4 linked regions of the Alligator mississippiensis genome follow. The protein of the gene in region 4 interacts with the protein of the main gene of each other region in a biochemical or structural test. Links are inferred from orthologs where the notes say so. Each region holds a gene or a part of one and is shown on either strand. Other genes may lie near its edges.

Region 1 (7,210 bases), on a different chromosome or scaffold from region 4:
TGGGGAGGAGAAGGGAGGCATTCCCTGGCTGGTTGGGGAGGAGGGGGACACTGGCATGGACGGGAGACGGGAAGGGTCCCTGGCATGCGGGGACAGTTGGAGGGCTGTAGTGAGTCCCTGAAGAGGAGGGCGTTGTGAGGGTGACGCACCGAGGGCTTGAGAAAGGAGGGGTCCATGGAGCCCCTGCCATGCACAAGCTGCTCAGGCTGCAGAGAAAAGTATGTGGATCCTGGTAAACCATCATTTCTTTTAAGATCCTGGTGTGGCAGAGGTGCCAGAGGGGCCTCCCTGCACGCTCCCTGCCCCTCTGGCAGTTGTGCTCTTTGGAGGCCAGCTTTCCCTGCACGAATGGGAGCAGATGACAAGAGCTCTCCGCAGAGTCATTGACTTTGGGATATGCTCCCCGAGCAGGCTGTCAGGATTTCGGATTATTAACCTTCAGGGCACAGTGCGCAGCCCATCTGTTCATTCAGGCTTTTTGCCTGAGGTGGATTAGTTGTGCTGGGTGCTCTAGTTGTGATTTTTCAGGTACCGTCTTGAGACGGTTACCCTACTGCCTGCAATTGTATTATGACGGAAGGTAATCTGGCCGCACTGGGTTCTGATTTAAATGACAATAAAAATGCAAACATAACGTTTCATCGTGCCCTGACAATTAATTAGTCTTTCAATTGCATCATGACCACAAACCAGCATTAAATAGTCATAAACAAATGAATGAACTCAGAAAGCCAATTAATCAAAGCAATAAATCTCCCCCTTTAAATACCCCAGGGACCTAGGTTTTTTAGGGAATGTTTTTGTTCCAGCCAGTTGAGGGCAAGATGATGTTTCATCTTTTAAAAATTGTATTTGATGACTGCAAATGCACTTGGAATTGTAGGCAAAGTGCATATGGCTTCATATATCAAATTATGCAGATGGATACAACTCAGATGTAAACCTGGGTGCGCTTTGATTGAATTGCCACCCGGGGAAAACACTCCGATAATCAGGGCTGAATAGCCCCATTCTTTATTCTGAGTTTTGAGTATAGTCAAGCTGATGATGAAGGAACAGTTTTGAAACTCTCCACCTGGTTTTCCTCTCATATTTACTGGTGTAAATCATGAGGAACTCTGCTGAAGTCAGTGGGCCACTGGCTCCGTTCCCCTGCACTTTGTGCAATCATTTGCATTGGTGCAAAGTGAACGTAACAGGTGCAAAATGCTGTCAGATCAGATTCATGTCGTGTGCATTCTTGCTGCAGTGGTGTAGGGCAAAGGAGAATGGGGCCTGACAGGGGGATGCTGGTGTGAAACTAGTTAAGGCCAGTGACTTGAAATTATGGGTTTAACTTTTAAAACTCGCTTTAAGGTAAAGATCATCAGGAATATCTGGTGGGAGGGCAGCTGGTCAGGAAGGTTTGGTCTGCTGTGGGATTAGTGCCTAGGCAAGACTCAAGTAAATCATGTGCTGCCTTTGTGTTTGCTCCCAGGGCCCCCATGGCAATCATCGAGCCTGTGTACTCTGTGTTCCAAGGAAGCAATATCACGGGAGGAATGAGGAGGGCATTGCATCAAACAGCTGCTGCCAAAGAGGCTCAGACTGAAAATGCATCTTGGCGGGACAATGACCAGGAGTGACTTAAAGGCCCTGTGAGCTGACAGCCGGTTTATCAGTTTGGCAGATTTATTAGAATTTCTGTAGTTTCTGTTTCTTTCCCTCACACCCGTCCTGAGAACAAAGGAGACCTCAAGGTCTTACTCTTTCCTTCCACAGCCCAAGACACGATCGTAGGCTTGCCTTCTTTTGCGCGTTCAGCTGTTTCATTATGTTATTTTTTGCATTGTGCATTGCAGAAGCCTGGATCATATGAATGTATTCCAACCCAGTCAACCATCTCAGGAGCAATATTAATGCATGAGCTTAAATCTGAGTGTTGTAAATCTAAACTACACTTCAAAATGCACCTTGCTCCCGCTCAAAGGAGTGCGTTTAGGGAGCAAACCCGCTCTTTTTGATGCACAGCTTATAAAAAAGCAATGCTTTAAAAAGTCCCTCATTTCTACAATTGCAGGGACCTTCTGGTTTCATCACAAAAATCCAGTCTTGTGGTGGGAATCCTTCTGGACTCTGCATTTGGAGAATACTTTGTCCCATGGGAATAAGCATTGCCATGATGAATCCCAGCTACACACCTCCAAAATACCGTTTGTATCTGAGAAACTGATCATTTCCCCTTGACTAAATATAAAGCAAATTCCGTGTCAGAGAACTTGAAGTGCTACTGGTCCTTGGCTCCAGGCTCCACTGCCCACCCCACGAGCATGTGCCGTGTGTTTTCCTGACACAATTCAAAAAACAAGGATTCATTCCTGTTAGCATTGTGTTTCAGACACATGGGCCCAAATAGTGTAAATCAGTGCAACATCCATGGAAGGAGCTGTACCTATTCACATGAGTGGTGGATAGGGCCTTTACACATAGCAATAGGATCCCTAGTATTGCTGCTTTCTCTTTCCTGAACAGTGTGGAATTAAGCTCCTCAGCCAGACGTAGCTGGTCACACTAATACTCTTCTCAAAGCTGTGCTGACATCAAAGACCTTGGTGCTCAAAGATGATTTGGTAGATGAGGGATTGTGCATTAGAAGTAAACAATTTAGAACAAAATGAATGCAGCAGCCATGACATGCTTTGTGTCTAGCCAAAATGAGGAAGGGAAAATCCCCGGTGTTTTCAAACAAAAAAGGACAACATTGGTAAGAAAGAAAGTGAACATGTTTGAGTAGAAACATAACAAATGGATACTGATTAAAAGCTGTTTAAAAATTATTTCAGTCTGTGTGTGTGTGTGTGTGTGTGTGTGTGTGTGTGTGTTTTATTGAGTCTTGTTCACCTTTTCTTGTTCACCTATATCTACTGGTCCTGGTTTCTAGAGCTGTAACTTCAGTGGGGCTGGGACTGTCTTTTTCTTCTGTATCTGTACAGTGCCTGGCACAGAGGATGTCTGGTTCCTGACTGGTTTCCCAAGCCGGTCGCTCCTGCCAGTCAAATGATGACTGACGATAACAAATATTGTGAGTTTATCCTCGCCAGCCAGGCCAATGAGCCATCCAAGGGAGAGTCCCCTCTTTAAAGCGTTGGCTAGACTAGTAGCTGCTGCATGACATTTGCATTTAAACCCACCATTATAAAGGACTGTACTCGCTTTATTACATGGATAAAATGTACCCCTCTGCCAGAGGCCACTCAGTCCTGCTGCAGCCTTTGAGCTTCGTGGGAGGTGCGGAGTCCATGAACAGACTCGACGGCTGGCGGGTCAGGAAAGCTGTCTTCACGCAAGCAGCACCAGAGATGTGCACGGCTATTACTCCCTCCAAATTACACCAGATCATCGTAGCCTCCCGGGGGGACAGCTGCTCGCTCTCGACTGCCTTCAGAGGCTGGCATAAAAACACTGACTCGTGGGGAAGGCTGACTTGGGGAAACTGAGGCTGTGTAAAAAGCAGAACAGCGACTGCGCCACCAGCCCCAGCACCTTTCTTCTCTTCCTGCCGCATGAGACAGCGCTGTGCCCGGTTCTCAAATGGGGCGCTCGTGTCGAAGCACTGCTGGCTGGGGACGCATAGCGGGCTTCAAGCGGGGGGAAGTCTGTATTTGAAGGCCTATTGCAATGGCTCCAGTGTTGCCAACTCTCAGGCTTTTTGGTGTTGTTCTTAAAGTCTACGCTTCAGGAATGTGAAAAACTTAGCTTTCTTTTATATATATATATAAAGAAAGATAAGTTTTTATATATATAAGAAAGTTTTATATATAAAAACTTAGCTCTTTCATATATATATATACACATACATATGTGTGTGTATCTATCTATCTATCTATCTATCTATCTATCTATCTATCTATCTATCTATCTATCTACACATGCCAGAAAGTATATATACACACACACACATATCTATCTATCTATCTAGATGTGTATATGTATAAAAGAGATAAGTTTATGTATATAAGAAAAGTTTGTCTATCTCGAAACTTGTGTCCCCGCCGGCCCGGCCGAGCCCGCTGGTGCTGTTGAGCCCTGGGCTGCTAGAAGGGCGGTGGAGGGGAAGGATGCTCCGGTCGCCATGGCAACTGCGGTCCTCTCCTCCCTGCCTGGCCCGAACGCGGCGTGTCCCGCGCGCCGGCCCGTAGCCGCGCTGCATGCCGGGCCTTCCCAAGATGGCCGCCCCCGTGTCGTGCTGCTGAGGGGAGTTTCGCCGCCCGGCGCCGCAGGACAACTCCCCCCGCGTGTCGCGTCGCAGCAGGGGGCTGGGGCCGCCATGGGCCGAGCCCGGCAGCTGGCCGGCAGCGCGCGGGCCCCGCGGGGCTAGAGGCGGCGGCGGGAGGCCCCGCTCGGAGCCGGGGCCCGACCAGGCCTCAGCGCCCCTCCGGGAGCATCCCCACCCCCCCGGCCTGCCCGCCCCACGGTGGAGGAAGGGCCCGGCTCGTGGCCCCCGATGGAGCCCGAGATGCTGCAGTCGCCTCTGCTGGGGCTGGGCGAGGAGGACGAGTCCGACCTGACGGACTGGAACTTGCCCCTGGCCTTCATGAAGAAGCGGCACTGCGAGAAGATCGAGGGCTCCAAGTCCCTGGCGCAGAGCTGGAGGATGAAGGACAGGGTAATGAGGGGCTGGGGCAGGTGGGAGAGGGCGCAGGGGTGTCTCGGCCCGTCTCGCCTCGCCTCGCCCGCGTGCCGGCACCCGTGGGAGCGTCTCTGCGCCGCAGCCACGAAACACGGGTGCTGACAGCCGGCGCGCTGAGCGCGGGCGCCTCTGCCCCCGGGGCCGCAGCGACGCAGCAGAGGGGTGCGAGCACACGGCTGCACGTGGCTTCTTCCTTACGGGGGAAACGGGGGTGTTCCCGCGCAGCCCGGCGAGGGGCTGCCTGGGCACCTTCTGCCCCCCCCACACTCACCCCTGCCCCCCACATGCACAGCCCTGCCCCCCAATACCCCTGCTCCCCACACACACACCCTTGCCCCCCCACCCCCTGCCCCCCCACATGCACACCCCTGAGCCCCCCATACCCCTGCTCCCTACCCACACCCACCTCCTGCCCCCCCACATGCACAGCCCTGCCCCCCAATACCCCTGCTTCCCACACACCCTCCCCCTGCCCCCCCACACACCCACCCCCTGCCCCCCCACATGCACACCCCTGAGCCCCCCATACCCCTGCTCCCTACCCACACCCACCCCCTGCCCCCCCACATGCACACCCCTGTCCCCCATACCCCTGCTTCCCACACACCCTCCCCCTGCCCCCCCACACACCCTCCCCCTGCCCCCCCACATGCACGCCCCTGCCCCCCACACACCCTGCCCCCCCACATGCACACTCCTGCCCCCAACACACACCCACCCTCTTCCCCCACACGCACACCCCTGTCTCCCACCCACCCCCTGCCTCCCACACTGGGTGGAGGGCACCGCGGTGCAAGGCCAGGGGGCTGCTTTCTACTTACATGATTTATAGTGGTGCACTGATAGAGATTTTGGGAGCTGATACCGATAGCTGATTTTTAAGGAGGCGTATCGGCTCGTACCGATCCGCTTTCCGATGTGCTTGGAGAGCTGCGTGCAGCTGGTAAGTCTGTCTCAGTGCACGTCTAATTATTTGCCCATCCATGTGTACAGATGGGTCCTGGTACAAAAAAGGTCGTGAACCATGGTTTTAAACAGTGCCTACGAAAGCAGCGCTTTTGTTAGGAAGGAATTTAAATTAGTAAGGTCCTAAATTAGTAAGGTCCTTGAAATGGAGCTCTCCAGGTCCCTGGGTTTCTGGTGTGGGCAGAGTGCGCAATAAACGCAGGCTTTCTGTTTTGTGAAGTTATCCAGTGGCTGATAGGTGCGTGGAAGGCTTTACTCTCTTTCCAGTATGGTCCAGGGAATATGGACAGTGTATTCTTCCCAGAGTAATACGAGCTGAGTGTTTAAAAGGTGGAAAATGAACTGTTAGATTCTCAAGCACTTTCACTTGTCGGGGCAGATCATATTCTCTTGGCTGAATCCACTAAGCATAGTACCAGGTATTACACTGATGTTTCTCTAGCTTGTATTGGGTAACATCGCAGTTAGCAGGAAACCTCTGGGATGTGATTTCTGGTATCTCAACTTTTCTGGTTAAATGTTAAGCCATCAAAGGTCAGGATGCCTTGGAAGGGAAAATATGAACCTGATGTACTGATAGCCCCTTCTGTGATCTGTAGACTTCCTGAGGTCTTGTAGGCATGCTGCCCTTTCCTGTGGGTGAGCAGTGGCTGTCTCTCCCAATCCACAACCATCTGAGGAATTAAAAAAAAAAAAAAAAAGCAAAAATTGCTGAATGAATATTATAATCTTACAAAACGTACTGTAGGCCATTCTGATGTAGATAAAAGTAAAAAGACCTTTTGTTTCCTAATTTCTTTGGTGCTCAGATAATCCATTTGTGGTGTCCTTCTTCGTAATAATCTTCTCCAAATGTCCTTTCTCATACACTGATTTCTTTGTGGTGTTTAGCTGACTTATTTTTTACTCCTGTGCGTCATGTGAATGTCTGGGGTCTGATGGAGATTGGGGTCTTATTGCCTCTGCCTTAGAGATTACAATGGACAAGGTGGACAGTGGGTAGCAAAAATGGAGATAATGTTCAAATAGAATAGATGCTAAAATGGTGGCAAACATCACATTAGTGTGATAATATTTTTGGATGGGGTGAGTAGTAGCTGGAAGGGAGAGAAGTAGAGAGAGAGAAAGAGAAGGACGTAAGAGGTAGATGTCAAGTGAGGCTAAGGGAGGGTCCTAAGTAGTAGCATAAGTGAGAGAGAAGAGGAATAGGTTATCCTGGGTCTCCGTTGAACATGCTTCTGCAGCAGCTCTGTCTCTCTGTGTTTGGCTCTTTGCTGCAGGTTCTTTCCCAGAGGCCAAATAGTTGGGGATGAAGCAGCTCTATATAAAGTTCAAATGCAGACTTGGAGAAGGGATGGTCCCAGCTGAAGCTGGTCTCATCCCCTCCCTTTCCCATCTCTTGCTCCCCACAACGGTTGACAATTCCAGGTGCAACAGTCCTTAAGCTGGACTTGCAGCTGCCCTTTTGTGCTTGTTAAACACTGCATTATACTTTTAAGTATGTGGGTGTTAACATCATGTCCTGCTTCAACTTTGATTTATACTGTATTGTGTATTCAAATCAAGAATAAGAAG
Region 2 (7,613 bases), on a different chromosome or scaffold from region 4:
GAGCTGAGCAGCCCTGATATGCCAGTACCCTGTTCATGCCATTGCCCCTCACTCCCCACCCACAGCCCCTCCCGCCCCCGTCACCCCAGCCCTGCTGGTGCCCCTCACTCCCCACCCACAAGCCCACCCCACCCCCAGCCCTGCCAGAGAGGCCCACAGCTGCCAAGGCTACGGTGCCAGGGACCCGAGTCCACAACCCCCTGCTTTCCCAGCAGTGCCTGAGCCCCAGCTGCTGCACCCCAAGCAGGAAGCAGAGCAGACCAGCTCCCCCTCTCCCACAGGCAGCATGGCTACAGTGGAACCTGTGGGGCACAGGGGGGGTGCGGAAGGTCTGGTGCACTCCCCCTGGGGCCTCCGCAGCCCAATTGACAGGACCTAGCACGGCAGACCAGAGCAGGTCTGGGCAAGGAGGTTCAGTGCCACTGCCAGGCGCCCCACACCACCATGGCAAGGCACTCCTTGCCCTCTGGCAGCAGCAGGGGGCACAACCCTGCACCTCCACACCTGCTGCTGAAACTTGGGTCTACTACAGTATGACTTGACACTTCCAAACTTATTTTGTGAGTGGTACTTTGTTTTCAAGTAGCAGGAAATGCCTTCCATTATCCCTCTTGAACTGAGAACACGGTTAAAAATGTGGTCTCCCATCAAAATAAACTGATGCTTAAGTCAGGTTTCTCTCTGATGCTTTGCTTCACTATAATGAAGATACAAAGCCCAGTTTGTATGAATACAGGAGAAAAAACTAACAAGGCAGTCCCTGTTTACTGCTCCAAGCCTCCTCTTAGTCGGCACTTAGCCCAAAAGCTTTATCTATAATCTTTTCTCGGGGCCACGTTCTCAGGGTGCTCAGACTGTCATGACTTTTGCTTGCTTTCTTTCTCACACCTCTCTAAAACAATAAGCAGTTAAAACCCACTGTCTATATGTTTTGTTGCTTTGGGCAGAGGCCACTACTGTTTCAGCTATCTACGTCTATAAAGAGAAGTGGCTCAGTCATGTTAGTCACAAGTCAGGCAGAAGATAGGGCAGTCTCTGCAGTGCCAGCCTGCCCTAGTTTCTGCATGTTTCTATACAGGAGGTCAGCCACTTTTTACACTGATCCCGATCCCAGATGGAAGATAGCTGTTATACCCACTAGGGCTACAAACAGACATCCCATTTGTCCCCAGAAAAAAACATTTTATCCCAGAACAAAGTTTACTCATTCAGACATTCATATCTGTTGTCCCAAGACAAATCCTGAAGAGGATCATGGGACAAAAAGTGCTGAAAGTTTGTTGCAGGACATCACAAAGTATGTCGGAACCTCCTGGACTACATCTGTCAATGGCAGAGAAGCAGCAGTGCTTTCAGCTGCTCATGAAACCCTGACTGAAAGAATGATGTGTGTGTGTGTGCATGCTGGTCCTAGGACTTTTATTATGTCAGAAACATGGTCACAATGTGTCCTAGGACTAATGCAACATCTGCTTCTAGCCGAAGTTCAACAAGGCTTAACATAATCATAACTCTTTAAAAATTGCAGAGGCAAGAATTCTTGTGGGTGATCTATTTTAATGGGCCAACTGTCCAGCTGGAATAGATGTAGGCATATCCCTCTGGCCTCTGGGAGGGAAGCAGACACAGCAGAGCTAAGCAGCAGACAGAACAAAAGCACGAGTAAAAAAAAAGATTGCTCAAGAGGGTTGTTATCACCAGTGAAGTGCAGAAGTTATCAAGTAGATTATAATGGGCCATGAAGTCACTATGTTAAATCCCTGGTGTACTTAGTGTCCAAACTTATTGAATTTAAGTTCTCAAGCTCATCTTATAAAAATGCTGGGCACATGGACTGCCATGCGATCTGCAGGACACAGATAAAGTTCCTCAAACAGACCAAGACCTATGATTTGAACGCTTCCATTAGATCTTCTTCTTATTATTATTTAAATTTTTCCATGTCCCAAGCCAAGTCAATTCCAAATCAGAGACAGTCCAGAACAATAAGTGGCCCTACTACCGGCAAACATCCTTGGCCCTCATCTGGGGCTTCAGATGTTCCCAAATCCTCTGGTGGGCATCCTACGTGCAGGCCCAAGCCCAGAGGCTTGCGGTTCGGATGCCCCTGAGTTTCGTTTGCCCTCAGCCATACAGCCGCAGAAGCAAGCAGGGAGGAATGCTTCCATTAGATCTGCTTGATGTTAAAGAAATAAAGAAAGACATCAAATCAAACCATCATCCAACTTATCCTCCCGGCTGGGGCCTATAGCAAAGACACCCACCCATCATGATGTTGTATTTGCCATTTCCTCCCTTTCCATGTATCCAGAGCACATCAACAGGTCTTCCACCCACTTCCCCCCACTCCTCTAAACAAGGGTGCATCCGGAGGCCTGGGCTGCTGGATGCTTTGCTTGGTACGGCAAGGCTTGTCATCGCTTCCCCAGCCATGCAACTTCTGCTGTGGCTGGCGCCAGGCTGCCTGAAGCTGCAGGCTTTGTTGAGAGCGGTTTTAGGAAGAGCTCAGGTTATGGATTTGTACAGGCCGGGCTGAGCAGGGACGACCCCGCCGTCCGCCCTCGGGTAGGGGTGGGACTAGGTGCCCGCTGGAGGAGCCCGCCAGCCCCACTTCTCCAGGACGCCGAGGACATTTCGGCACCTGAGAGGGCAGACACCCCTCAAGGCTGCTCCACACAAAGGCAAGGGTCTCCCCCTGCTCCCGCCTGGCAGTGAAGGCGCCCTCAGAGGACAGAGCGGAGCAGGGCGCTCCAGCCCCACCTCGCCCCGCCGGCCTCGACCAGGGAGGCCGCGCGGGAGCCGGCGGGGCCGGCGCTGCCCCGGCCGGGCACTCACCGAAGTCCAGGAACTGCTTCATGGAGAGGGGCGAGGGCGAGAAGCGGGCGTAGAAGTCCACCTGCTGCGGCAGCCCGGCCGGCGACACGCAGCGCCGCAGCGCCCGCAGCAGCCGCATGGCGGCCCCGCTCAGGCCGGGCCTACCGCCATCCTTCGGCCGGCCCAGCTGGCTCCGCCCCGCGCAGCGCAGCGCCGCCTCACGCCGGGAGGAGGCAGAGGCGGGGAAGGGGCGGGCGACGCGGGTTTGCCGCTGGCCCGGAGGCTGCGGGGGGTGGGGCGCGGCCCGGCGGGGGCGCTCTAGCTACGTGGCCGCTCCTCCTTGGGCGGCAAGGCAGGGGCGGCGCGCGGCAGGTGGCCGGGCCGGGCTTTAGCCCGCAGCGGGGAAGTGCTGCCCAGCTGCCAGCCTCACCCACAGCTGCCTGCCCTGCCTCTGGCAGCCCTCACCATCCTCCCTGTAACCACCCGTCTGCCGTTTGAAGACCGCTGTCCAGTCCCACCGCGCGCGGCCTTCCCCGTTCTTCCAGGCTTTCCCCACAGGTTGTTTCCTAGACCTGTTGCGGATTCATGCCTGGCCATCGCATGCATCTTCTTGGCTCTCTCCCCATTCACGAAGCGGTTTGTGGTGTGAGGCGGCGGTACGTGTCCTAGGGCAATGGTGCTCAACCGGCAGCCTCTGTGCCAAATGCAGACGGTGGAGCCTTGGGATCTGGCCTGTGGGGCTCCCAAAGGTCAGGAAACTTGGTGCCAGGGACCAGTGGCAGTGAATTCTGCCACCCCACCCGGCTGCCAAAACCCCAAACCCATGCAGAGGTTCAGAGCCAGGCCGTGAACCTGCGTAGCAGGCCATGCACCCCCCTCCCCCATGGAGCTGGATTAGGGCTGGGTCATGCCCCCTCCAACCATGGGGCCAAGTTAGAACTGGGCCAAGTCCCCTTTCCCTTCCCCCATGCAGAGGCTGCCCCCCATCCACATGGCTTCAGGAGTCCCTGCTGCACCTGTCCCAGTGCCGCATTGGGTCCACCAGCCAAGTTTGGGCGTGGACCAGGCACTGCCTAATAGTCCAGCTGGGCAAAAAGGTTGAGCATCAGTGTCCTAGGATTACTGCTTAGTGCATGACTTCTTGTGGCACTTGCTCCTTGTGGTGGGGTCAACCCTGCCATGTGGGTCTTGCTGTCAAAAATTGGCTTTGCTGTGTGTCTGGCTAGCGTGGAGATGTGACAAGAGTTCCCATTTCTAAGTTGTAGACCACATTTGCTAAAAGTAAGCCAGGGTCCACTAACTGACGTGACAATGCTTAGGAGACCATGCCTGCTGAAATGCATAACTCTTGCTGCCTGTTGACCCCATTCTCCTCAGCACACTGTTGGGTTGCCTGAGACCTTCTTTCACAGATGTGAAGCTATTGTAGCATTTTGATTCTACCTGGATGTGGTGGAATCTATTATTCTTGGCAATCCTGCCTCTCCTTTTTCCCTCTCCTCCCACTTCCAGTGAAAAAAAAAAAATTTACAAGAAACCTCTACCACCTTTTTCTCATCTCTATCTTCTATGGTTTATATACAGACTGTCATAGAAAATGGCATATATTCATCCTACTAAGTCCTGGGAGGGGAGAAAGGGAGCTCCTTAGCAGCTAACTGGCTGACTAGCCACAGCTGGAGATAAGAGGCTGCAGCTCAGGTGGAAAGGGGTAGCTGCTAGAGAGGTTGAGAACTGCTCTGAGGGCAAACTAGCACCAACTTTCTAAATAACCAGACTACAAAACTCCCCAAAACTGAAGAGAGAGTGGGATTGCTGGCAAGGCTTCAGGCAAGAAGCCCTTGGGGGTGTAGGTGTTTGAAAGAGAAGGGAGCAGGAGAGTTGCCTTGTGCTGTCCATCTCAGCAGAGGGCTAAGATAAATCTCAAAACCTTCTAAGGCCATGCAATGAGGTCTGTGAGCCAACTGTGGAGATGGGGGTGTTTTTTAATTCTGTACTTAAAAACAATCAAATAAAAAGATACATTACTGTAAGAAAAACCCTATTCTTTTGGATGGCCTGGAAAGAACAGTGCTGAAGGTGGCATGAGTCATGAGCAATGTGCTCTGGAGCCTCCTCTGTCCATACAAACTCGCAACATCCAAAAGCATGGGAACAAATATTTTTGTCTGGAAACTTAGCATGTCTGGGGGTCTGAGTATCTTTCTCCATGCCGTTGTTCTGTTTTTAACAGTTTACCTATTAATAACATACTTCATATTGCTGTGGTCCTGCTCAGCTTTTGACATTTTTTTTTTTAAACATATTCTGTTCTGAGTGAAAGTACTCTAAAACTAAACCAGCCTTTTATTAAGAGAATTGATTTCAGAGATGCTGCAGCTAGCTATGGGCTCACAGACTGAATTCTTAAGAGCTGCCTTTATTGTACTCCACTGCAAGTTTCACTCATACGGCTTCAAAGAGGGTGAAACATTGAGACCCTTATTCTTTCCTGCATTCCTCTACACCTTTCTAACCAAACACATCTGTAAAGTTAAGTTTGTAGTCATTATCTTATCATAAGCATTTATGATAATGCCCTCCACTTGCAAGCTATCTATTCCAATCTTTTTGTCTCATTTACTTGATATTGCAAAAGCAGGCACAATAGATAATACAGACTTCTAATAGCAATATTTATATTTTTAATTTGGAATTAACCTTTAACATTTTTGTTTAATTTTGTTTGGAATTAAAACTGTTAACATTTTGAGGTGTTTTCCTCTGGGCTTGTGGGGGCTGTTCTTTCTTGTCTTTGTATTGTAGAAAGAAACCCTTCATCAGACCTTGCTGATGTTAGAGCAAGTCTGAGCCCATCTTATGATGCCGGTCTGGTGCTTGGTTATGCAGCTGGAATCGTGTTTCTAAGTCTATTGACACCATTGGTTACAGAGATCTTTCATGGTGCATCTTGATCAAGTTTTGATCAGACTAGCTTTTAGGGGAGTACAAAGTGAGCCCTATTCGATTCAGATTCGGCTTGAATCGGGGACAGCGATTCAATTCATTGATTCAGATCACTTTCCCCGATTCGATTCGGCCGAATCCGAATATGAAGATTCGATGCTGAGTCAGAGAATCACCGATTCAGACAGACAGCTTTAAAAGTTTTTTCTATGTACCTTCAGGTAGCAGGCGCAGCTTTTGATCACTGTGATGCTGGGGTGCATGGAGCGTCCCACAGGAGTGCAGGGTGCCCTCCACTTGCTCGGCAGCAAACCCAGAAGTGGACCGAAAGACCCCCCTCCCACCCAGACCCAGGAGGCACCAGTTACCGAGCCGGAGGGCACCAGCCCCCCCCCCATGCACTCTCCAGCGGACCCAGAAGCGGACAGGGAGTGCTTCTGGTCCAGTTCCCCAGTGTGCTCAGCCGCAGAGCCGGAACTCCCCACGCTTCTGTGGAACACTCCACACGCCCCAGCATCGCAGCACTTACAAGCCCCTACTACCTAGAAGTAGGCAGAAACAATATTCAAAGCTGTATCTATGTCCAGATCTCCAAATCGATTCAGAGGGTTCAAATTCGATTCAGAGAAATTAAAGGGTCCTCCGATTCTACTCTGATTCGGAGATTCAGCCACCAAATCGGGCCAAATTGAATCAGTGACCGACACTTCACACAGCCCTACTAGCTATGAGCATTAGGCCCTTCCTCCCCTTCACTCCTCCTGCCTACCCTGCTTCCTTCCTGTTCCTGATGCACCTTGCCACTTTGCTTCCCTGCCAGAGTGCACCCTGCACTACACATTAACCAGTAATTCATTACCAGTATAAATATCATTTAAACATTTAACCTTTCACATCCCTAGCTGAAAGCATAAGGTTAAACTAGTGTTCAGAGCATTTAGGAGAGGGGGTACAAGATTATATTAAAGTAGGAGTGCCAGAGGCACTGTCATGGAGCACATGGTTAAGACTATGGTGTTGCTTGGTAGAGGGCCCTCAGTTGGAGTTATTCATGGATGGATCTAGGATTTTGAAAACTTGGGGGTGCGGATGGTATGGCATATCATCACATAACACAACACATGGTTGTCTCTTATTAAAGAACTGGATGTTTTACTAATATGCAAGGGGGCTAGCATATATACTATTCAGTTGAAGATCAAAGCAAAACAAGTAACTATTAGAATCTAGTAAATGAGTGCACATTCTATGTAAAATTTGAAAAAACACAACAAACTTGGCAAAAAATAGCCCAAAGATATATCATGTCATTAGTCCTGTACTCACCACAGTTAAATGTAGTTTTCTTATTCAGAGTCATAAACCAAAATTAACCTTCTTGAGTGGCTTGGCAGTGCCTCCAATACTTCACTGCGAGTCATTTCTACACCTAAGTTAATATTGCCGCATCTGAGTTAAGGTTTTGAGTTAGAGTTTGGGTGGAGCAGGAATCAGAGGGCTACCACTGCACCCCACTTGGATCTGCTTCTGGAGCTATGGTTAAGACTCTAACCAGCTAGTATTACCAAGATGGGAGCCAACATTGCAGCAAGCAGAAGCAGCCTGACTACTTTGAGTTTGGGCTAGAAGTAGGACCTATTTCTAGCACTACTACAAAGCTAGTTTATACCTTCCTCCTTCTCCACATCTGTGCCTAGCTTGGGGCCCCAAGCCTTACCTTGGCCCAGGATCCCACGTCAATCCCAAAGTTAAACTGCCAATACTATCAGCCCCAAGTCTAAGCCCTAGGACAGGACCCCTTGCAAACCCAGTTTGGAGGCTCCTGCCAATCCCACGCCTAAATTTAGCCTGGG
Region 3 (6,947 bases), on a different chromosome or scaffold from region 4:
TTCCAGGCTCTACCCGTGGAGAAGAGAACAGAGATCACAAGAACTGGAAGTATACATTTCAGCTGTGGCAGGCCAGTAGGGGGTGCTCCTGCGCCGAGCCACCCACCTCACTGCACCCAACCACCTTCCAGGCTCTGGGTGCCTCCCTGAGGGTGTCTCACGTCTGGCCGACCCCCTTCCTGGAGCATACCCGCTAGCCTGGGGGTAGAACTGCCACCACCCAGGGATGGGCTCGATTCAGGCTCTGCGCACTCTGGGAAACACAGGCCTAGTAGCCCGCGAGGGTACTTGACTCACTTCAAGAGCTTGGGGTGCTTCCCTCAGTCAGAAGCACAAGTAGTGGTCTCCCTTAGTCAGCCGAACCAAGGGGACCCCACAGCATAATCCAGACCCACTCCCAATAAGTGTCCCACACTAGGTACAAAGGAGAACTTTATTGGTTACAAGGGGTAGGGTTGGAATAGGGCACAGAGTTGAGTAGTATCAGAGAAATCCCATAGAGCAAACTCCTGTGGCCGGGGTAGCCTTTGATCTCGCATCCGAGTTACTGCAAGCTATACATCTAGTTAGATCTCAGGTAGCTTACAAGTATCATCCAGAGGCAGGTGGAGATTCCCTCTGGAGGCAGGCAGTTCCTTGATCATGAGTTTTGAGAGAGAGAGAACGAGCGAGCAAGTTTTAGATGGTCCAGCTCCTCTCTCTCTCCGAGTTTTCCTCATGGCTGCTGCCCTTCCTCCTAGGCAGTCCTTAACTTATATAGCCCTTGTGACCTCATTTACCTGGTCCAATGGAGGCCAGCACCTGTTGCCTGTCAGCCAACTAATGTGAAATGCATCACTAGTTGCTGGGCAGACTGGCAGGCTCTAGCTCACCAGGATGCCCAGGCCCTCACCCAGGTATGTGGTGCCAGTCACGTAGGCAGAGGGAGCAGGTTTCCACCCCTCCCTCAGGAATGTATCCATCTCAGGTTACCTAAAGAGATAGGGTAAGGTGTATATCCTCTGCTGGGCCCATCCTAACCAAATTGTCACAGAGCAGAGGTTTTGGGTAGAAACAGGAGGTGGCCTTCTGCCACATCAGCCACCGTTCATGCCCCAGGTTTGTGGTGAAAAGGGGTCAGAAGCCATAGGGAGGCACAACAGCCCTTCTTCAGAGCCACTCTCCAGAGTAACCACTAGGGAGGTACCAAAAGAGAATTTTTAGGCTGATACCGATGACCAATTTTTAACAGGCCATATCGGCCAATACTGATCCGATTCTCATATGCAGCCAGGCAGCATGGAGAGCAGCACCTGGCTGGTAAGTCTGTTGTGGGGGAAGAGGCAAGGGGGGAGCAAAGGGGTATGGGGGGCAGATTGAGGCCCCCACAATGAGGGAGGGAGTGGGGCTGGGGCAGGTGCTGCACAGCTGAGGCAGAGCAGGCGAGCACCCCAGGATGGCACAGGGGGGCGTGTGCTCCTGGATCTGCACACAGGGAGTGGGCAGGCTGCCACTATGGGCTGGGGCCAAGGCAGCCTTGGGGTCTGGGCCAGGCCGCATTCAGAGTGGGCAGTGGTGGCACTGGGAGGGGGCTCTGGGGTGGGGCTGCAGCCACCACAAAATTCACTGTAGCCCGCCCCCCAGGCACCGCTCCCAGCGTCGCCGCGGTCTGCCCCGAGTGCAGCCCAGCCCAGCCCCTCAAGGCTGCCCCAGCCCCAGCCCATAGTGGCAGCCTGCCTACTCACTGTGCACAAATCTGGGGGCACATGCCCCCATGCCCTCCCAGAGTGCACGCAGCAGCAGGACCTGCCCCCCCCACCTGGATGGGCTGCTCACGGCTCCACTCCACCCCAGCTGTGCAGCCCCTACCCCACTCCCTCCCTCACTGTAGGGGCCTCGATCTGCCCCCTCTCCCCCACAACAGACTTACCAGCCAGACCCGGCTGCTCTCCACGCTGCTGGACTGAGCTCTGGGCTGCCTGCGTGCTGCGCTGCAGCTGTGTGCGTGCACAGGGCATTTAATCGGTGGCATTATTGGCCACATCAGCCAAAAAAAGCCAATTGCCAATACTGTCAATTTTCCTTATATCAGTGCCAATCCGATATGGGACCGATGTATCGGTGCACTTCTAGTAAGCACTCAAATATCACATTCACTTCCTTAAAGTTTCAGCGCATAGTAATTTGTTTGTGAAGTGTAATCTGGGGCAGATCTGGAGGGGGTGGGGTGCTCTGGTGCCTGTTGCTTCCTGCTCCACCCGAAGTTTAAAACCAACTAACTGCCTGGCAGTGGCTGCAGCATTTCTAGGGAGACAAATAACTTCATAGCTCATTATAATCTACCCCGATCCCTACTAAAGTCCTCATTGCACAGTGTTAACCACCCTCTCTTTTTTATAGTCTTGATGTGCCACTACTGGAGCTAGCCTTCATCCTGCCATGCTGCTGCCCGTTTGCTGCTCCTGGTCCCGAAGCTCCTATTCCGCAGCCCTGCGGACTGTTTTTAACTCACTGCAATGGAATTATATTTGTTTTTGCTTCCGCCTTAAACCGAACAACCCAGCCCCAGGCCCCCACAGCCTATGAAGAAAGCTCCTAGCTCATCACGAACAGGAGAAAGACACGCGTGACATTACACGTGCACCACCAGCCCAATCTGGAATGGGGTTCCCAGGGAGGTGGTGCTCTCCCCTACCCTGGGGGTCTTCAAGAGGAGACCGGACAAGCACCTTGCCGGGGTCGTCTGACAGCAGCGCTCTTTCCTGCCCAGGGCAGGGGGTCGGACTCTGACCTACCAAGGTCCCTTCCGACCCACGCATCATGAACCTGCATCCCCGTTCAAAAGTCCCAACCCACCCACGTGTACAAGACGGCAGAGGCCGTGGCTTTAGGACAGCAGCAGACATGGAGGAGAGGCCGTCAGACCCCCCCCCCGAGCCGGCGAACGCCGCGAGCAGCCATCAGGACTCCTGCTGGTCCCAGGCCGGCACCCGCAATCCCCAGTCCTTACCGCCGGTGTAGAGGAAGGAGCTGGAGAGCCCGCCGAAGTAGATGAGGGCCAGGTGCTCCAGCCGCAGCGGGGACAAGAAGTAGAGGCCGGCGGCGCAGACGCAGCCCAGCGTGTAGAGGACGACGCCGAAGCGCACCACGTCGCGCGGCTCCAGGAGATGGTCCACCAGCGTGCGGTCGTCGCTCTTCTTGTGGTCGATGCCCTTGGAGAAGTCATAGTAGGTGTTCACCAGGTTGCCGGCCCCGTGCACGGCCAGCACGGCGCCGGCGCTGCCCACCAGGCGCGCGGGGTCCAGGGCGGCCTGGGCACGGTAGGCCAGGGCGCTGCCCAGCGCCACGGGCGTCAGCGAGGCGCTGAAGCTCCAGGGCCGCAGCGCCAGCACGTAGGCGGCGCACTTCTGCCTCCAGCCGCCCGGCGGGCCCCGCTCCGCGCCCGCCTCGCTCAGCTCCGCGCCGCCGCCGATGCTGATCCCCTCAGCGGGCTCCGCGGCGGCGGCAGAGGGGGGGGCCGGCAGGGGGCCCCGGCGGGGCGGTGCGGCGGGAGGCCGCATGGGGCTCAGCCTCACGGGGCGCGAAACCCGCCGCGCGCAGCACGGGTCATTACGGTAACGGCGCCCTTGGTCGGCCGCAGGCGGGGGGACACTTTCAGCAACGCACCCGGAAGCAGAGGGACGGGTGTCCCGCCCTGGCGTCCCCCGGCGGCTTCCTGCTTCCGCCTGGCCACCTTCCCCGGTAGGGGTGGGAGTGCGGCATTCTAGCCAATCACGCTGCTTCCGGCTCGCCACTGGCGGAGCCCCGTGTCAATCGGACCGCTTTTTTTTTTTTTTTTTTTTTTTTTGCTCCCGGATTGGTCAGCCCAGCTAGCCGGCTTGGGGGGCGGGGCTGCGCTCCCCTAGGAACCCCGCCTTCCTCCCCACTCCATTGGCGGCGGTGGCTGCCACTCCGATCTGCCTGGGCGCTGATTGGGTGGGTGCTGCTCGCCGGCCCGGCGGGTGGAGCCGGGGCCCGAGCGAGGGAGCCGGCGAGGAGGCGGTGAGTGCCCTCCTCCCCCTCCGCGGTCACCTGGCGACGCCCCGCGGCGCGGGGCCCTGTCATGCCGGCGGCTGGCGCTGCAAGGCTCCGGGCCCGGGTCTGTGCGGGAGCCCGTCCCCGCCGGTGCCAACGCCGCGGTTTTGTGTCCCAAGGCCCCGCTGCGCGGGACGCCCTGAGCCGCCCCCGCCGCCATGTCGGGCACCGTGTCCATCCTTCAGCAGTTCGCCAACGGCCTGAAGAGCCGCAGCGAGGAGACGCGGGCCAAAGCGGCCAAGGACTTGCAGCACTATGTCACCATGGAGCTGCGCGAGGTGTGGCGGCTCGCGGGGTCTGGGAGGCCCGGGACGGGGGTGGCGGGCGGGCGGGCGGGGCAGGGGAGGGGCAGGGAGAAGAAGCCGCCGCCTGTTTGGATCCTGGGAGGCCCCGGCATCGTTGCTGCCCGGGGGCGGCTCCGCCTGGGCCTGAACTCTCTTTCCTGCGCAGATGAGCCAGGAGGAGTCGACCCGCTTCTATGACCAGCTGAATCACCACATATTTGAGCTGGTCTCCAGCTCCGACACCAACGAGAAGAAGGGGGGCATCCTGGCGATAGGTGAGCGCAGGGATTCGGTGTCTCTGGGAGATTCGCTCTCCACTTCCCCGTGACGCAAACAAGCTGAAGACCTGGTGTCTCCACGCTGAGCGCTTGAGAACGTGGTCCTGCGTTGTTACGAAAATACGGGCCGCGATGCTCAGCTGCGTTAAGTGAGCATGGTGTGCAAATAGTCTGCGCTCCCTGTGGCCTGAGAGCAATAATCGTACCCGTTAAAACCCTTCGCTCGGTGGCAGCAGGGCCCACCTCCAAGGAGCTTTTGCATTTATTCCCGGTAGCATCTCCCCTGATTATTGCCCTGTTGAGCTTTTGTTCTTGTGTGGCAGAGCAGCCTAAACTTTGCAACTCCTGGGGATACAGATCAGGGGTTCCTGACCTTTTTATGCTGTGGACCGGTAAGCCACAGACCAGCAGTGATCGGCGTACTGCGGGCCAGCAGCCAACCCTTTCTTATCCTCGGTATAAAAACGGGTTGGTTGCCGGTCCACAGTATGCCGGTCACTTCGGGACTTCCAGTCTGGCAGCCAACCCTCCTGCGGACCAGCAACCAACCCTTCGCAGCCCGGGGGTTGGGAGCCCATGATACAGATAGATAACTCGTGTGAAAACAGTCCCTTCCAAATGGATCCCTCATTTCTGCACCATTTGCTTTTTAATAACTCCATAAAGCTTCTGGATTGAGTTAAGCATCATAACCAAACCAACCCCGGTGTGCTTAGAGATGATGGAGGTCGTTGAGGTGGAGTGATCTTTGTCAATGACATCTCACTTTAGGCAGACAGCATTACTTTAAAGTTACTTCTGTGACCTTAGTACTGGTGGAAGGTGCCAGCTTGACAACCCTGGATACTGATGGCTCCTCTCTGCTGCCACGCTGCCCCTGCCAATGTTCCTTAAGCCAGGCCTTGAGAGACCACCTCTTGAAAGAGTACAGTCTCCTCCATTCAGTCCTGGGTCCATTGTAGCCGTATATAGATGGAGGTGTGTTGGAATGGATCTGTGTTCCCAGGGTGGATCTTTATAAAGTAATACAAGGAAAATCTGACTTATGGAACCTTTTTGATGCATTTCTCTGTTTTACATAACAGATCCAAGCTTGGGAAGAATGCTGACCTTTCCTGCTGCTTAATGTTTCTGGTGGATTTGCAGTTTAGGAAGCGTTAGCAGGAATCTCTCCAGGCTGCCTAGAAAGAACTCTCTTCCAGGGATTTTGCTACTGTTTGCCACACTAACCCACTGGCAGGACTTAACCCATGCTCTCTTTCTCCCCAGCAAGTCTTATTGGTGTTGAGGGAGGCAATGCCACCCGCATCGGCAGGTTTGCCAACTACCTTCGGAACCTGCTCCCCTCCAATGACCCTGTTGTCATGGAGATGGCGTCCAAGGCTATCGGGCGCCTTGCCATGACGGGAGACACCTTCACAGCAGAATATGTGGAGTTTGAAGTGAAACGGGCTCTGGAGTGGCTGGGAGCTGATAGGAATGAAGGTCGAAGGCATGCGGCAGTAAGTGCTCTTCTGGCTTCTCAGCCTTCCTGGGAACAGGCTCATGAGTAGCAGTGATGAGAACTGTGCGAGGAAGGATGCAATGAGTGGGGAGAGGGTTGGAGGGAAGTCCTAGCTGGGGAGTGGAATGGCTATTCTTCCATTTCTGAAGAGCTACAGGATGGGCTAGTTGGTCTGCTGTTAATGGTATTTGTTCTGGTAGTGCTTAGGAACCGAGACTCAGATGCTCCTGTGCCAGGCACTGTAGAAACCCAGCAGCATGCTTCCCAAAGCTTACAGTATAACTAGGCAAGACAAATCAAGCATGTGGAAGTTTTCTTCTAAATTCCCACCTCTCCCTGACACCACCATTTTCCTTCCTGTCTCCAGGTTCTCGTCCTGCGTGAACTGGCCATCAGCGTGCCTACCTTCTTTTTCCAGCAAGTGCAGCCATTCTTTGATAATATCTTTGTGGCTGTATGGGACCCCAAACAGGCCATCCGAGAGGGAGCTGTCTCTGCCTTACGTGCCTGCCTCATCCTCACCACCCAGCGGGAGCCAAAAGAGATGCAGAAGCCCCAGTGGTACAGAGTAAGGAAGGAGTTCCTTCCACTTTAAATAGCTTTCTTCTCTGTGTCAGCACACAAGATCTGGCCTAAGCTAAGGCGGTTAGGTGTTGGCTCCTCTCAGTCATGATTAAAAATATTCTGGCCTTGGGATCAACCAGTAGAAAAGGAACGGGTCGCATACACCGAAGTTTTATTGTGCTTTTTGCAACTTGTTGCCAGCCCTTTGATTTAGTCTATCCTAGCAATCAGACTGTTCTCAACAGAGCAGGTGATCAGACTGAC
Region 4 (7,330 bases):
ACTTTTCACCATTCATACCAGTAGTGTATCTTTACTTGCAAAAATACCATCATCTGTCTACAATAGCAATAACTCCAGCTCCTGTTAGATATACAGTGCATTATTTCATAGTTGCAATCATACTGTTTCTACAACAGAATGGCTATGAACTCAGTTACTTTATCATTCATGTACTGTATTAACAGAGCTTCAGATTATTCATACCCATTTGCCCAGTTGTTTCCAGACCCTTGTTTCTGACAGAAATGTGACTGATGGTCATACTTCCAGCAGCCGGATCTAGCAGCCATTGATAAGGTCTGACTGATTACTTTAGGTTCCATGTCAATAAGTACAGCCCGGGCAACAGGTACTGGAGAAAGTGGGGGGGAGAAAAACAAGAGAAACTATCATGCCTAAATCTTGTAACAAGAAAAAAAAAACATCTCATGTGCACAGGAACCTAGCAAGGCCTAAATCAAATCACCCCCCATCTTACTCATGGAAGTTGCACCATTAACTTCAGCGAAACATTAACTTCAATGAAACAGTACATCTGAATAAGGTAACATTTGATGTTTCATATTTTAAAAGGAGCTTTCATCCATCCAAAAGCTCTGCTAATTCTACATGGAATGAAAATCATTTTAGTAAGGAAATCTTTGCTGTCAGCTGGCATTAAATACGGGAAGGTTTCATACCCTAACTGCAGGTTTGGATCTACTTACCTGTGAAATAACTGAAGTCTGGAAAGAAAAAGTTTGTCTGGGTGAGAAACATCTGTGTTAGTGCTCATGGACATACAGGGCAATCAAATGCACTAAGCAAGTAGAACAGAATACTGCAGTAGGCATGTTCCCACATGGGAAAGGGTGGGCTTGAGGTTAAAGCTTAGGGTTTAGAAGAGTTGGATTCTGTTTTCAGCTTTGCCAATGACTTGATCGGTGACCCTGGTCAAGTCACTTAATCTCTCCGTCTCTGCTTTCCATTTGTAAAATGGTGGTGACGACACAGCTAATTCACAGGAGCTTGTATGTCGGGCTGGTAAATTCACAAGTCTCTATATAATACATGCTTGGATGACATTCAAAGTATTAATGAGCACAAAGGCAATTAGCACTGAGAGGGAAAAACCTCTTAAATACTGTACCTCCAGTTTTCTCCTCACTGAAAAAACGTTCTTTACAAGCTTCCTGATAGGATTCATTCTCCTTCTTGGAGCACAGCCCATGTGTACTGTGGAAATCGCTGCAGATAGCATTGAACACCTCATGGCCAATCTGATTACCACACTGACCAAGCTGCACTGTGACTACTGACATTCTTCACTTTGGATTTAATCCTAAAAAAAAGAGAGGTATGCTTTTATTTGCTATGGCTAAAACAAGTCATGAGTAGGCAGCTGTTGAGCAGTTCGGTAACCTGGGTAGAGAACAGACTGATTTTTCAGATATAATTCACCCTATGTTTAGAGGTTTTCCCAAACTACTTAAATTGTGTAACTGTGTTGATCCAGTAGCTGAAATTCCTTGGAGAAGGCTGCAGTCAACAATCACGTTCCATCCCCACAGGGATAGTGATGTGTTTCAGTGAGGATTGGGCAGGAAACTTTGTTCCCACCAACTGCTAGTCAAGCCAACAAAATCAGCCTCCCTGAGTTTTATGTGGTACTGAAGGCAGTCTCATTTCAAAGAGCCTCTCCATCTTCCCAGGCTGTGCTGACAGAGTGGCTAAGGTGTCTCACTATGGCTCGAGAGAGATGAGTTTGATCCTTACTCTGGGCTTGTGCCAAAGACTGCTCCCAGTTGACCCAGCTATAAATGGATACTTAGTCATCAGGGTGAGGATTTGAAAGGTGGCCAGATGTTTACTGATGGCTACAGCACTTGGCGTGCCTTAACTATGCTAGTAGCAATTAGGCTCAGGTGGACCTTGGACTGCTTTTTTTTTTTTTTTTTTTAAACTTAACTGGAACTTAATGGCTAAGTTCACCCCTGGTGAACTACACTGACTAATGCTACAGCGCCACCCTGACTTGTTACATGTGCAAATCTCTGCTGACCCATGAAGAACAGACTGATAGTTTGGAAATTATTTGCCTGCAATGCTGTTTTCAGACTGGTTTTCCAGAGTTTCCTACTGTTGTGGCCACTGGTTCAGCTATGTTGTTGCTAACAATTGTAAAAGCACTAACGTAGATACAAGCATTGTAAACTAGTGGGTTACCTAATCTAGTAAATGAAATGAGATGTAAAATGCTGCCAACTAGGCTGTATTATAATGTTCCCCCTGATGGGACTGTATTGATGGTAGCAACAGTAGGAAATTCTAGAAATAAAAGTTTAATTGTGGATGCTAAGTCCTGACATTCCCCACTGTGGGAAGCAAGATCTTTTTCTCCATTTTGTTTTCAATAGCAGGGCTGAAACATGCCTGATGTGACCTGCCTGGTGATCACTTCACCAGTAATCCTGTCTCTACAGCTGTTAACGGGCTCCTGCTTCTGAAAGATCTAAAACATCCCAGGATCCAGCCTCAAATAACTGAGAATTTATGTGCAATACAGGCACAACAATGACAAAGAGCTAAACTGACAGAAGGCAAAAGAATAAGCATCATTATGCACACATTCAGCATTCATCACTGTTAAATCAACTGCCCGTGGACGATTCATTGTCTCCCCATTTCTAAATATTAAGTTAATACTTACTCAAGGTATCAATACAGGTATATAACAGTGTATACTTTTATCAAGGGTGCAGAGGAATGATTATATTCTCTTGCTGAGCATGTAAGGGGTGAGGTAGAGCAGGGCATGATCAGTTTGGTCTCTTTAATCTCTACCTCCTCTTAAATCTGCTAAGATATGGCTTAAAACAAAGTCAGATTTTGCCCATTTAGCTTTGGAACAGAATTACTCTCTGCAATGGGAAAGAGGACTGAAGGGAATGCTGCACAGCGTTGACAGCCTCCAGTTAAGGAGCACTGAAAACAAATTGCTTATAGGGAAACTTTGGCAGTCAGCACTTTGTCGTGAACAGCAGCTGCTCAGGAGCATGGATGACAATTCCTAGGAAGCCAGCTGGATTAGCATTTATATTGCTACATATCATTTGATAAGGTTGCAGTCGACTCTAATAATTAACGTGGAGAATAAAGAAAAATTCTTTCTGCTCTCTGGCTTTTGCTTTAGTGAATTACAAAAAGCACGACCGAAAAGTACAAGCAGTAACCCAGCGGGCTCTAGACCCGGCCTGTATCGCGGTTCCAAGAACGGGGAGGCCGCCGCCTCTGGGTAACCTGTCCCGGCGCTGCACCCCCTGCCTAGGGGGAGAGTTTTCCCTAATATCCAACCTAAACCTCCCTTGCTGCAACGTGAGCCCGTTGCTCCTTGTTCTGGCATCTGCCCCCCCCCCAGCACAGCCCAGCTCCCTCCTCTGTGCGGCGCCCGGCAGGGATTTCAGTCCCCCTCGGTCTTCTCTTCTGCAGACTCAGTCAGCCCATTTCCCTCGGCCTCTCTTCGTACGTCACGTGCTCCAGTCCCCCAACCGTTTTCACTGGACCCTCTCCAACTTGTCCACATCCTTCCTGTAGCGGGGGGTTGGGGGGGGGTCACAAAACCGGACGCAGGACTCTGGCCGTGGCCTCCTCAGCGCCGAATACAGGGGCATACACGACGTCCCTCGATCTGCTCACGACGAGCCCCCTTCGCCGTCTGGACAACGTGCGCTCGGCTCGTAATCAGCATACTGTCCGCGGTCACCCCCAGGTCCTTTCCCACGGAGCCGCCAGGCCCCAGGCTTGCACTGCTCGACTCCCTTGGGCACCCGCCATCACCCCCAGGCACAGGGCTGCTGGCACCCCTCATCACCTCAGAGCCCCTCCCCCGCACCTGCCCCATTCCTCTGCCCCCCAGGACCCCATAATCTCTCAGAGCAGGGCCCCCCTCCAAACCCCTCGGCCCCCCATGACCCCTCCCCCCATCCCCTCAGCACCTACCCTCGAAGCACAACTGCTACAGGAGCCCCCCCCAGGGCGCATGCGCGGACTCCCCTCACACACTCCAGCCCACCGCCGGAGGCCCTGAAGTCCCTTTGAACACCCCGCTCTGCGCATGCTCCGAGAGAGCGCACGTTGGGCCGGAGGGGGTAGGGGATTGAGGGCAGGTCGGCCCCGTGTGGCGGCTTCACGGAACGCTCTGCGCCTGCTCTGTGCCAGCACCCGGTGGAATGCGCGCATGCTCAGGGGCTCCCCCGGCGCCAGGGCGCGCTCGGCGCATGCGCCTTGCGGGGTCCGGGCGGCGTGGGGCGCCTGCGCGGGCCGCGTGCTCGGGGTGGGGGCGCAGCCGCGCTGAGGCCTGGAGCCGGCGATGGCGGCGGCGGCGCTGAGGGGCGTGGGCCCATGAGGCGGAGCAGGCCCCGCGCACTCAGCACAGCCAGGGAGGGGCGGCGGCGGCGGCGGCGGCCCGGCCATGGCGGGCGTGTTCGACATCGACCTGGACCAGCCCGAGGACGCGGGCTCGGACGAGGAGCTGGAGGAGGGGGTGAGGCGCGGGGCCGGGCCGGACGGGAGCGGCCATGGCGGGGGGTGGGCCGACACCTTGCTGCACCTCAGCCCTCGCATCCTCCTGGCATTATCACCCTCCCCCCTCTGCCCTTACCTCGGGATGTTTTTTGGGGGGGGGAGGAGGGTGTTTTGTTTTGGGTTTTTTAAAGTTTTGAGCCCAAATGATGCGGAGCGGTGTCCCATGCAGCGGTAGCAGCCTAGGGGATCCGTTTTGGGGACACCTCAGAGCCGGGGGAGGCTTAAACTTGTGGAAGTGCTGTGGGCAGATGCGATATCTTTGATTAGACTTTATTATCGTTATCGTTATACTAATATTATTATTATCGTTACCTTTCACTGCTGTCTTTTATTACACCGAGTAGCAGTAGTCGGCGTGCCGTTCATTGGACCCAGTCGTTGACAGTTGAGTCGTCGGGGGTGGGGAGAGGGGGAGTTGTTTGCAAGCTTTTGGGTGCAGTCGCCCTTCTTCAGGAGTCTCCGCTCTTCTCAGATCTCTAAGGGATGCGAGAGGCTAAAAGTGCGACAGGATGTCCGTGAGGGTGAAAATAGGTAGAAATTAGGAAAACTAAATGTAAAGAAGCGGGGTGGGGGGCGACGAGAGGGTTAGGGAACTGTGCCCTCCTCGTCGGTTTTTCTAGGTGCTATTCGGATGTCTTCAAACATCCCCCGTGTTTGTAACACGTGGGGTGGGAGGCTACCTACAAACTTGCAGACGTAACTACGCATGACAGTGCCCCCAGACTGGTTTGGAGCTAGGGATGTAACTTCAGTCTGTTTTACTCTTTGCGCCCTCGCTCCGTGTGGTTTTGTGACAAATGGCGTCATATGTGCTAAATATATGCATACATTTTAATTTTTTTTTTATTTTTTTTTAAAGCTTTTCTTGCTAGTTACAAGGTGCCAAACTTGGTTGCTGCCTTGATAACGTAGCAGGACCTACTGTCCTTACTGGCTGTCTGGCTGTTTAGCAATAATGATCTTTTTGCCGCTGTGTGCCGTCAAGTTGAATAAAGCACCTATTTTACTCTGGCTCGAAGATTTGATTGATTGATTTTTTTTATTTAGTTAGTTAGTTAATAGACTGTTGTAACAGTCTGATGTAGGAAATAAACATTTCCTTGCGCATGTCGAAAGTTTACACATGGGAAGTCAGTCTTCCCTGAGCTTCCAGTCTCCTCCAAATCTAGGGAATAGTAGGTACAGAAGAGTAACCAAGGGTACAGTCTCTTCAATATACTAGTGAAAGTGCCTTTTTTTTCTGAGCTCCTAGTATTTAGCCTGCGGGAAGCTGAGCTCAATCTTCTGTCTTCAGTGTGATGTAAAACCTTTTTCTTACTAGTATTCATTTGGATTATTTGGAGGCCATCACTGCCTCTGGTTGCTGTAACGCAGTGGTGCTCAATCTTTTGGGGCCACGAGCCAGATGAGTGGCAAGGGGCCCATCCATGAGCCAGATCAGGCTCCACACTGCCTCTGCTTAGCCCCAGATTGAAGCCCCACACCGCCTCCATCAGGCCCCAGTGTGCCCAGATCAGGCCCTAGGCCACCTCTGTGCACTGATCCAGTGTGCTGTGCAGTGCATGAAGCTCTCCAGGGGTCTGGAAATTGGCAGAAGGGGAGTGACAGTTGGTGCCACTGCACTCCCACTGGCAAAGTTTTGGACCCCTGGGAACCCCTGTGGGCCAGATGGCATGGCTCTGCAGGCTAGGGGTTGAACACCCTTGCTCTAAAGAGATTTTAAGAAAAGACACAATTTTGCTTGTCCACTGAAGGCAACATAACTTGCAGTCTGTGGGAAGAAACCCTGGGCTTGTACATCAGTAGTCAATAAAATGCCTGGCAAAAATGTCCCTTGCATCACACCCCGAGGGTTACCAAAACAGATTTTGATGAGCCATGAGAGGGAACAAATTCCTGCCCTAGAATCTGCAAGAATTAACTTCAGTGGATTAAACAGTAGTTGGTAGACTGCTGTGATTGTAGTCTATCGCTTGTGCAGGAGGAATATTTGCAGCGCACAGTTGGCAGTAGTGGTGAGGGCCCAAACAGCTCTCAGACAGGATGGACAAACTAAGAGTTCTGTGGGACTCCCAAGTTCATGACACATACCCGCACTCACTGTTTGGGTAATGCTGAAAATAATCAGCAAGGAAAGAAGAGCAGAACAGGAGCTGAGTGACAATGGTTTTGTATTTTTCCTCGAATTCTGAAGTGGAGAATGCACTGGGGAGTAAAGGGAGCAAGCACTAGAAGAGCGTGAATGTAGCATCTTACTGAAAGTTGCCTCCAGTTAGCATAATGTGTGGTTTGGGGGAACAGAAAGATGCATAGAACTGAAAACTTAAAATCGCCAACCTGGAAATGAGCTGGGTAGAAAGCTAGTGTGAACTAGACAGTCCTGTACATAGAGCATTTTTACTCCTGAAAGCTGTACTGGCAGCAGCAGCAAGAACAGCTGCAGTTACAGGTGTTGCATACGGACATGACAATCCTCAGAAGTGAAACGTGAGACCTTTTGACTGGAGAGTTTGCATGTAAGAAATAGTTTCCAAAGAGTAGCCACCCAGGGGGGACACAATTGGTTCTCAAACTCTTGTCTGTATGAGATGACAAGAGAAGGGAAGATGCATGATGTATTTACAGACTAGCTTCCAGGATGAACAGTGTGATTTTTTTAAAAATCTATTTTAAAAAGTGAATTTGATGCAAGTAAAAATAAGACTTGGAAAATGAATGCATCTGTTCATAGAATGAGAGCAGTTACAGTCGACAGGAGTGCAAGCTT

Evidence for each region.
Region 1: of the proteins of RPS6KB1 (region 4) and RPTOR, one has a biochemical effect on the other in vitro, tested with the Homo sapiens proteins (6 studies listed by BioGRID and IntAct, with this or other methods). The link is inferred for Alligator mississippiensis from reciprocal best matches to the Homo sapiens genes RPS6KB1 and RPTOR.
Region 2: the proteins of RPS6KB1 (region 4) and PDK1 form a complex in vitro, tested with the Homo sapiens proteins (2 studies listed by BioGRID and IntAct, with this or other methods). The link is inferred for Alligator mississippiensis from reciprocal best matches to the Homo sapiens genes RPS6KB1 and PDK1.
Region 3: of the proteins of RPS6KB1 (region 4) and MTOR, one has a biochemical effect on the other in vitro, tested with the Homo sapiens proteins (18 studies listed by BioGRID and IntAct, with this or other methods). The link is inferred for Alligator mississippiensis from reciprocal best matches to the Homo sapiens genes RPS6KB1 and MTOR.

What each region holds. Positions count from the first base shown.
Region 1 is NC_081831.1:1,247,602-1,254,811, forward strand, and holds the start of RPTOR (regulatory-associated protein of mTOR), read left to right. Parts: upstream 1-4,194; 5' UTR 4,195-4,483; coding exon 4,484-4,645; intron 4,646-7,210. UniProt on the Homo sapiens protein: Component of the mechanistic target of rapamycin complex 1 (mTORC1), an evolutionarily conserved central nutrient sensor that stimulates anabolic reactions and macromolecule biosynthesis to promote cellular biomass generation and growth.
Region 2 is NC_081827.1:211,866,164-211,873,776, forward strand, and holds the start of PDK1 (pyruvate dehydrogenase (acetyl-transferring) kinase isozyme 1, mitochondrial), read right to left. Parts: upstream 3,009-7,613; 5' UTR 2,954-3,008; coding exon 2,836-2,953; intron 1-2,835. UniProt on the Homo sapiens protein: Kinase that plays a key role in regulation of glucose and fatty acid metabolism and homeostasis via phosphorylation of the pyruvate dehydrogenase subunits PDHA1 and PDHA2.
Region 3 is NC_081836.1:12,052,132-12,059,078, reverse strand, and holds the start of MTOR (serine/threonine-protein kinase mTOR), read left to right. Parts: upstream 1-3,943; 5' UTR 3,944-4,020; intron 4,021-4,049; exon of another isoform or gene 4,050-4,172; 5' UTR 4,173-4,211; coding exon 4,212-4,331; intron 4,332-4,503; coding exon 4,504-4,612; intron 4,613-5,884; coding exon 5,885-6,117; intron 6,118-6,486; coding exon 6,487-6,687; intron 6,688-6,947. Other genes in the region: UBIAD1 (ubiA prenyltransferase domain-containing protein 1), read right to left, coding at 2,990-3,539. UniProt on the Homo sapiens protein: Serine/threonine protein kinase which is a central regulator of cellular metabolism, growth and survival in response to hormones, growth factors, nutrients, energy and stress signals.
Region 4 is NC_081837.1:3,662,787-3,670,116, forward strand, and holds the start of RPS6KB1 (ribosomal protein S6 kinase beta-1), read left to right. Parts: upstream 1-4,322; 5' UTR 4,323-4,450; coding exon 4,451-4,522; intron 4,523-7,330. Other genes in the region: TUBD1 (tubulin delta chain), read right to left, coding at 205-352, 1,130-1,301. UniProt on the Homo sapiens protein: Serine/threonine-protein kinase that acts downstream of mTOR signaling in response to growth factors and nutrients to promote cell proliferation, cell growth and cell cycle progression.